Linked DNA regions of Cricetulus griseus. The protein of the gene in region 2 purifies or fractionates together with the protein of the main gene of each other region. This does not show direct contact. Links are inferred from orthologs where the notes say so. Each region holds a gene or a part of one and is shown on either strand. Other genes may lie near its edges.

Evidence for each region.
Region 1: the proteins of Nap1l4 (region 2) and Ncl fractionate together in Homo sapiens (co-fractionation; 3 studies listed by BioGRID). This does not show direct contact. The link is inferred for Cricetulus griseus from reciprocal best matches to the Homo sapiens genes NAP1L4 and NCL.

Annotation. Positions count from the first base shown.
Region 1 is NC_048595.1:438,027,196-438,031,787, forward strand, and holds the start of Ncl (nucleolin), read right to left. Parts: upstream 3,015-4,592; 5' UTR 2,853-3,014; coding exon 2,835-2,852; intron 1,903-2,834; coding exon 1,786-1,902; intron 123-1,785; coding exon 1-122. UniProt on the Homo sapiens protein: Nucleolin is the major nucleolar protein of growing eukaryotic cells. It is found associated with intranucleolar chromatin and pre-ribosomal particles. It induces chromatin decondensation by binding to histone H1.
Region 2 is NC_048596.1:57,824,688-57,829,248, forward strand, and holds the start of Nap1l4 (nucleosome assembly protein 1-like 4), read left to right. Parts: upstream 1-1,730; 5' UTR 1,731-1,853; intron 1,854-4,561. UniProt on the Homo sapiens protein: Acts as a histone chaperone in nucleosome assembly.

The DNA.
Region 1 (4,592 bases), on a different chromosome or scaffold from region 2:
CCTGGAGTAACAGCAGCTTTCTTAGCTGGTGTGGGAACTGCAACTTTTTTTGTTTGTGAAACAACCACCTTCTTTGCTGGAGTTGCTGTAGCCTTCTTTCCTTTTTTCTGAGGGATGACAACCTTAAAAGTAAAACAAATAATAAGCACTTTCCGTATATCCAATGTTATTAACATACTGATACTAACTTTGAGCTCAACACTGGAATTAGGTATATGTTAAACCCTGGGGTGAAAGGGCTAGAGAGACGGTTCAGCAGTTAAGAGCCCTTGTTACTCTAGCAGAGGACCAACGGTCAGTTCTCAGCATCCACATGATGGCTCTAACTATAGTTCCAGGGAACCTAAGAGTTTTCTTCTAGCCTAAGTGCACCAGGCATGCTTAGTAGTACACTCATACAAATACAGATAAACACTCTAACCCTAACTCCAACACACTAAATCCTAAACCCTGGAATCAGAATACATGGCTTACAACTGCAGGTGCTTATCACACAAATACCCAAGTTTAAGAAACACTCATAAATGAAACTGGTCTCCAACTCCACCCCTACACATCAGCCTTAAGCAGAGTTATAACAAGTATGCATTTTATTTTCATTGAAAAATGTTCCACCAAAACCCAAATTTTGCTTATTACTAATATAGCTCTTCTAAACAAGAAATCTGAGCATAATGATTACATACCCCCAGCTTACCTGATTTCCAAGACTATCCCTACTTCTGCCTCCTGAAATTAATTAACCATGTCTTTAAATGAACCAACAAGTAGGAGTGCTAATAAGTACCAGATTCAGCAAACTGGTAAGTAGCAGCCTTCAATCCATATCTGATGTATTTTAAAAACTGACTTGCTCTATAAAAGCTTATATAATAGGCTAAAGCTTACTTTAGTGATAGGGATCAGCACTAAAAAACAAAACATGCATGACGGGAATAGGAGTAAAATAAATATAGTGATTCCTGAACTATTGAGACCCTGACTCCAATTCTCATCTAAATCAAAGCCCTAAGTTTCTTAACTAGCTTCATGCAATGACTAATGCCTTTATTCAGGAGAATTTTTGGCCAGACTGGTCTACATGTTGAGTTCTAAGACCACAAGGGTCATGTTGAGATCCTGATTCAAAAAACAAACAAACAAACAAAAAAAAACACCCGGGAATTTCTAGTCGTAATGTCCTTCTCACCAAACACCATGAAATCACGTGACCATGATCTGAATGAAAACAAATCAAACTGGATTAAACCCTGTTTTCCAAAAATGTAGGGAAAAATAACAGCCTACAATCAATATTCAATACAGCATGTGAAACCTGAGTGAAATTTACATCCCTCTCAAGTGGACTGTAATACTCTTATTTAACTACTCAATAGCAATAAAGAACTTGTCACTCAACTATTGTTATCATACTACTGTATTTTTTTTTTTGGTTTTTGGAGACAGGGTTTCTCTGTAGCTTTGGAGGCTGTCCTGGAACTCATTAAGTAGACCATGTGCGGCTTTGAACTCACAAAGATCCGCCTGCCTCTGCCTCCTGAATGCTGGAATCAAAGGCGTGCACCACAACCGCCCGGCTTTAGAATACTTTTATTAACACACATTCTATTTCTACATCTTTTTTTTTCTTTTTGGTTTTTGAGACAGGGTTTCTTGTGTAGCCTTGGCTGTCCCCGAACTCCCTCTGTAGACCAGGCTGGCTTTGAACTCACTAAAACTGCCTGCCTTCTACGTCCCTCTTGCTGGAATTAAAGGGAGGGCACCGCTGCCCTATTAGCTGTATACCTCTTCTCCACTGCTGTCATCTTCTTCATCTTCGGACATTTCTTCGTCTTCACTATCTTCTTCCACCTCTTTTGGAGGAGGAGCCATTTTCTTAGAATCGCCGTGGGTTTTGCCGGCCTACACAAGTGCACACAAAATCATGTCGATACCCTATTTGTAAGCCATTTTGCGTTTCGCCATTATCTTCTTTCTTAATGCCCACTGTCTATATTGTTAAAGGCCCTAAGCACAGGTGACATCATTGGCATTATTATATGTGGCAATCTTTCCTGAGAATCACCTATATAACTTGTCTTTCCCTTCCAGAGACAACTGAAGACAATCTACTAGTCATTCATTGCCCTTTGAATTTCACTCTAAATCATCTGCCGGGGCAGGGGTATCTATTTGGGTAGCCCCTTCTGGAGAGGAGCACGTCTTTCACAGAACCACTTCCGACGTCGCCACTCTGGAGGCGGGCCACGTGGAGGTACCACGCAGGCCACCACGCGCTCCCTCAGGTGTCCACCACGTGCTGGCCTGCCCGTCACGGACAGGCGCTGGGGATCGCCGGGGAACCCACCTAGCTCAGTCCCGCTGTCCCCCTCCCCGGTACCCCGCGACTCCCCGAGCCCGAGACGGGCAACACACGCAGAGCGCCAAAACCCACGTGGCGGGCCGCGCACCGGAGCACGTGCGCCAGGAGGCGGGGCCACGCCGGCGCCGGCCCACGAGTTGGGTCCCATCTCCCCTCGGCGGGCCTGTCGCCCCTTCTCCCCTCGCGGCGGCTCCGATCTCACCGCCCTACACACACACACACACACGCGCGCGCGCGCGCTCACACACACACACACCTCCCGGGACCCGCCTCGGCTCTCCCCCACCACCAAGTCAGGGGCCAAACACCGCGAGACCTCCCGCTAGTCGCGCGAGACTTTCCCCAGCATGGCGCCCTCGAACGCGCCCGGGATTGCGCGCAGGCCCTCCTCCCCTGAGCGACGCGCGCGCGCGCGCCCCTCAGAAAGCAGGCCCAGGCGTCCGTCCGCGTCGGCGCGCGCGAGGCCTCTCACCTTTGCGAGTTTCACCATGGTGGCGGGTTGCGACGACGGCGCGTGCGGCGAAGGGCGCAGCTCGGGAGAGCCTCGGGGAACCCACGCGAGCTGGGCGGCAGCGACGGGCACGGTGGACTCTGGAGCACGTACGAGCGACTGCCAGCTACAGCTAGCGTCTGAGGCAAAAGACTGAGCCTGCCCAGTAATCGCCTCTGGAAAGGCGACGACGGCGTCCTCGTGACCCCTCCTCCACCAACCAGAGCGCGCGTCCGTCCCCCTGGCCAACCGCGAGCCTTCAACCCAGGACGGCGTGGGGGCGGGGCTACGGCGTGGGGGCGGGTCCGCCGGGGGCGGGGCCTGACGGCAGCGCCCTGGGGGCGGGCCTAGCTCTACGCAAGGCGGACGTTGACTGGCTGGTGTGCGCGTCTTCTCGGCGAGCCCTAGCGGCTCGCCTTCGCCGCGCCTGCGCGGTGCAACGCGCCCGTTTGGCGCGGCTTGTGGAAGGGGCTCGGGGATGGCGGCGTGGCCCGGACGCCTCCTAGTGCTCGACTGCTACCTGGAGCTCCGGGCTCGCGTGGCCGGGGGGGTGGGGGGTGGTGGGTGGCCCGAGCATCCCCCGCGCTGCGGAAGCTGCGCCCCACCGTGGACTCCGCGGCGGCCTCAAGTGCTCGCCGCGCGTTCCCGCTGAGGAGCCGGAGAGCGCCGGAAGTTGAGGGCCTAGAGCCCACTGGGGCCAGCTCGCGGCCCTCGGCCTGCCCTCGGCAGAGCCGAGAACATCCCGGGGCTCTAGTGTTGCGCCGCGGGCCGCTGTTCTCCTGAGAGACAGCTCCCAATAAAGGCAGTTGCGTGCGTGTGTGCGCGCCTGTGTGCAGTGCTCAAACAGCTCGCTTAATGTCCAACCTCGCGCGGTAGATTTAACTCCTGATGGGGACGGTCTCGGAGAGGTGACTTCCTGGTGTGTGCTGGAGGAGTTTTTTGCCGGCCTGTGGCCACTCACGGTTTCCCTCAATGGCCTGAAGGACAGAGTTGCCGTGAGTGGATTAGACCTGTGTGTGGGACTTTGGGTTCCAGGCGTGGCATACTGGAGCCCTTCTAGGGTACCTCCTGGGCATCTAAAACCTAATTTTCTGCATAGTCAGGGTTCCGCCAACTGATGATATTGGTTGATAGATCACCTGTGGAGATTTTGTCGGGGATGTTGAGACAGGGCCTAACTATTTGCTCTTGCTGTCCTGGAGCTCACTGTGTAGACCAGGCTAGCCTCGACCTGCCTGCCTCACGCGTGTAGAGATTAATGCGTGCGCCACCACGCCTTGGCCCATCTCGGAAGATTTTAGTGCAAACAGGATGTGTTGGGTCCCACGTTTTCTATCTGAACACGGGTCTTTGGAGACAAGTAGAAATAGTTAATGCGTGATGCTTGTTACTAAGTCCTTCGCAACGCGGTGGAGGACACAGCTCCACGAAAATGCTCTATGGTCAGGGCATGAGGTGGGAACCAGTGCAGTGATGTGGAGGCTTTGTCTTTATAGAGACAGTGACAAGGGTCACACCTTGAGATGGACCCCAAGAGAGACTCCTGGGTAGAGGGACAGGAAAAATGATTGGTGTGAGCCAAGACCCTGGGTATTTCCAAGCAGAGGAGGCTAAAGGCACTTGGGAGGAGACAGGTGAGCTGTGAGATGACACAGATGGATCTCAGCAACACTGGCATGACTTCTCTTTTTCGATCCGATCTACCTGTATGGGGCCTTCCTCAGACCTCTGGTGTAAAGT
Region 2 (4,561 bases):
TCTATAAACTGACATGGGGAGACTGAGGCTTGTACCCAACTCCAGATTATATAGAGGAAATACCTCCCTGGTACCCTCGTCAGCAGCAGTGGAGACAGTCAAGTAGCCTGATGCATTTCCTTCCTTCTTAGGAACCTCTACTCAGATAAAACTGGATCCTTGACTATGCTGCAGAAAATAATTTCAAGACAAGTCAGAGCAAAGCAAAGTTAGCAAGAATATTAAACAGAGATAAATAGCTCAGGCTTTGGATTTAAGTGCAGGCACTGAGCAAGAGAGACAGTCTTGGATGAAAGACAGTTCATCTGTAAGACATGAGTGCAAGCTGCTGAAAGCTAGGCTTACTTACTGTAAGAGGAGTTGTCGTCGTAACCCTGTGGCTCTCTAAATCCAGTTGCTCAAAGGACGTAATTGACAGCAACAGTTAAAGACTAAGTATAAACTGGGAGGTGGTGGCACATACCTTTAATCACAGCACTCAGGAGGCAGAGGCAGGCGGATCTCTGTGAGTTTGAGGCCAGCCTGGTCTACAAGAGCTAGTTCCAGGACATCCTCCAAAGCCTGTCTCGAACCCCCCCTTAAAAAAACAAAAACAAAAACAAAAAACCCAAAAAACAAGGTTTAAATTATTTTATATGTGAGGGGCTTTCAGACTGCCAAGTGAAGTATTAGAAGATGGGTGTATGCACAGCCCAAACCAAATCGAGTCCCTGACTGCCAAACTATTTTCTTTGCTTGTCTGCTTTAGCCACTTCCTACCCATCCTCAAATAGAAATTAAGTAAAAAATATATGAGCTTATTTGCTTTTCTTAATTCTGTAAATGAAACTTTATATATTACCTAGTCCCAATTTAAGGATGGGAGAGAAGTAATATAGTAAAACTCAGCGCTGTAAATCTTCTGGACTTTAGCAAACATACTTCATTTTGAGTTTTATTTTAGAGACAAGGTCTCACGTAGCTGGCCCCAAACTTGCTTAGTTGATAGTGACAAAAGGCTCATCCTCTCACCACCACCTCTCATCTAGCACACCCCACTACACAGCTTTGTTTTTAACGACCCTGTCTGTAGACTTTAGGAAAACACATATCTGCAGGCAGTTTTTTTTTTAAGATTTTATTTATTTATTATGTATACAACATTCTGCTTCCATGTATATCTGCACACCAGAAGAGGGTACCAGATCTCATAACGAATGGTTGTGAGCCACCATGTGGTTGCTGGAAATTGAATTCAGGACCTTTGGAAGAGCAGTCAGTGCTCTTAACCTCTGAGCCATCTCTCCAGCCCCCGAAGGCAGTTTTTTTTTTTTTTTTTTTTTAATCAGGTATGTTTAAGTTTCTTCCTATGAGCAGGGTAGCCCCAAGCCAGGCAGACACCGTAGACCGAGGGCCACAAGGCCTTGGGAAGTAGGCGGTGCTTTCCCCAAGCCAGGGACGGCAGGTAACCTGGAGAGAGAACTGCGGACAGGGTCAGGACGCAAAAATTAAGAGTTGCAAAAGACTCAACAGACAAAAAAAAATAACCCTAAGTCCTCCACGCGCCCCAGCAGCCCCTTTAAAAAGGCGCGGCACCGCGCGTGCGCCGGAATACACGTCACGACTCTATTTACATATAGCTCGCGGGCTTGAGAGCGGGGCCCGTGCACGCTTAACGGCTTTTGATTGGATGTCGCCTCTATCATCACCGAGGCGCAGTTGACAGACAGCTCTACTGCCAATTCACAGACCGTTTTGTTCGCAGAGGGCGGAGCCCGGCGACGCGGCCAGTGGCAGGTGGTTTTATTGGCGGCCACGGCGGCGCAGTCCCGGAGCGAGCTTTACACGGGAGCCAGTGCCGCAGGAGGCGCGAGGTGCGGTCCCGACGGGTAACGGCGTGGCGGGCGGCTGGTCAGGGGCCGGGGCCGGGGCGGCGGAGGTGGGGGTGGGTGGCGCGGGCGGGGCGACGCGCTATGGCGGCTAGCAGAGGCGGGCGGGGCCCCATCAGCCGTCCGGGTGGCGGCGGATGGCGGGCCCGTCCCTCCTCCGCGCCGCCCCGCCCCCGGCTGAAGGTCAGCGCGCTTTGTTCCCGCCGCCTGAGAGCGCACGCGAAGCCGCGCAGGCGGTTCCCTGAGGGGACAAGGCCTCCCCAGCGAGGTGGGCCTGGGTGCGCCTCGTTTTGAAACAGCGCTTGGGAAGGAAGGGGTCCACGGCGTTCGCGCGGTCTGGCCGCCGCCTCGCCCTTCCGGGCTTTGCATGGTCTCCGCACACCGCCCTGGTCCGACTCAACGAGCCTGCGGTGGAGGCGGAGCCAATTTAGTGACACACACACTGAGCCTTCCGACCCGACTGTGGGCCCCTCAAGGGTGCAGGGTCGCCAGCAGTACCCCTTCTTCCCAGGGGTATCCTTGGAGCAGTCGGCCTACGCTTCCTCCAGCTCTGCTTAGCTTTCTCGGAGGAATCCCTGTGGTAGTTTGCTGCTTGTACGCCGCTGTAACAGGCGTATGCAAATTCCCCAGCAAAAAGGCCCAAGTTGAAGTTCTTGGTCCTAAAAGTTGCATGCTTTTTAGTTACTGCCGCCTTCCTGTCATAGTAGCTGCCTCCTCTCGGTGACTAATCTCTGCTTACTACACACCAGGGCCTCCTTAAAGCTCCTGTCGTGTGTTTTAACTCCATTCACAATAATCTTGTGATATAGGTGCAACAGGCTGAGTATGCCTTAGCACGAAACGCCTGGTTTCAGAAGTTTATGGAATATGTAGGTTTAGCAGATTAGCGTTCCTAGTCTGGAAGTCCAAAATCTGGCATAAAACTCTAAAAGAAATGGGCTTTGGAGTGTCCTGAAATTTTAGCATAGGAATGTTCAGCCTGTACTGCAAATTAAAGCCCTGTTAAGTGTGATGGTTTGACTGTGATGGTCGCTTGAATTTAAACTCAAGTAGAATTAACCTGGCTCGGTTGCTATTGAAATAAACAGTGTGCAGATGAACAGTGAGATCCAAAGAAAAGAGTGGTAGGATTGGGATGTAGTCCAAAATGACAAAGGGATGGTTCACTTGTCGGGGGCTTTTGGCAGTTGCATCTTTTTTTGTTTGTTTGTTTGTTTTTGTTTTTTTCGAGACAGGGTTTCTCTGTATTGCTTTAGAGGTTGCCCTGGAACTTGCTCTGTAGACCAGGCTGGTCTCGAACTCACAGAGATCCTCCTGCCTTGCTTCCTGGGAGTGCTGGGATTAAAGGCTTGGGCCACCAACGCCCAGCCAGTTGCAGCATTTTAATGCCTTTGTCTAAAGTAGCTGCTGTCAAACGATGTTGGAGGCTTTTTTTTTTTTTCCCTCCTTGGAGACAGGGTTTCTTTGTAGCTTTTTGAAGCCTGTCTTGGCACCTGGCACTCACTCTGTAGACCTGGCTGGTCTGGAACTCACATAGATTTGTCTGCCTGGGCCTCCCAAGTACTGGGATTAAAGGCGTGGGCCACCACACCTGGCTAAGTTGACCAATATTATTGGTTCACAATGTCAAAACATTTAAACGTTTAAATTTTGATATGTTAGTGTTATTTTTTGTTTTCAAGACAGAGTTTTTCTTGTGTTACAGCCCTAGCTGTCCTGCAACTAGCTCTGTAGACCAGGCTGGTCTGGAAATCACACACATTCACCTGCTCTGACTCCCGGGTGCTGGGATTACAGGCATATGCCCCCACTGCCTGGCTGTATTATCTTTAAATCTTGAGCTGTTTTTCAAGTATGTATAATAACTGATTTTATTGTTTTTTGGATTATAACCTTGACCACCAAAATTCTGGAAAAGATGTATATATTCTGAGGTCTCAGAAAGTATGGCTATTATGGCTTGTGAGTTGGCTGTTTGGATTTCTGTAGTTGAGAAAATAGTTTACAAATTAGTATTTCTTACAGAGATGCAGTTCTTAGGGATGAAGTACTTCACGTCAGTCTGACTTTGTGCTTGAATCTTAAAATGTCCCAACTAAGGTAGGTGTGGTAGTACACATCTAAAGTCCCAGCTGCTCAGGACTGGAGAGATAGCTCAGAGGTTAAGAGCACTGGCTGCTCTTCCAGAGGTCCTGAGTTCAATTCCCAGCAACCATATGGTGGCTCACAACCATCCCTAATGAGATCTGGTGTGACTACAGAACACTGTATAAATAATAAATATATATTTTTTTGGTTTTCCGAAACAGCGTTTCTCTGTGACTTTGGAGACTGTCCTGGAACTAGCTCTTGTAGACCAGGCTGGTCCTGAACTCACAGAGATCCGCTTGCCTCTGCCTCCCGAGTGCTGGAATTCAAGATGTGTGCCACCACCTCCCAGCTAATAAATAAAATCTTAAAAAAAAAAAATCCCAGCTGCTCTGGGGCTCAGACTTCAAAGTCAGTCTTGGCAGCACTGCAAGATCCTGGCTCAGTTTTTTCCCCTCTTAGTTAAGTGAGAGCTAACTAAGAGCGAGTACTAACTCCCTGTTAACTGTCTTCATGCTGTGTAGTTTAAGGCCTGTGCAAAAGTTTGTGTTGTGCTTGTAAAAAAAAAAAAAAATTGCCAGAGTGCCTAAAATTTTTGTTTGGAA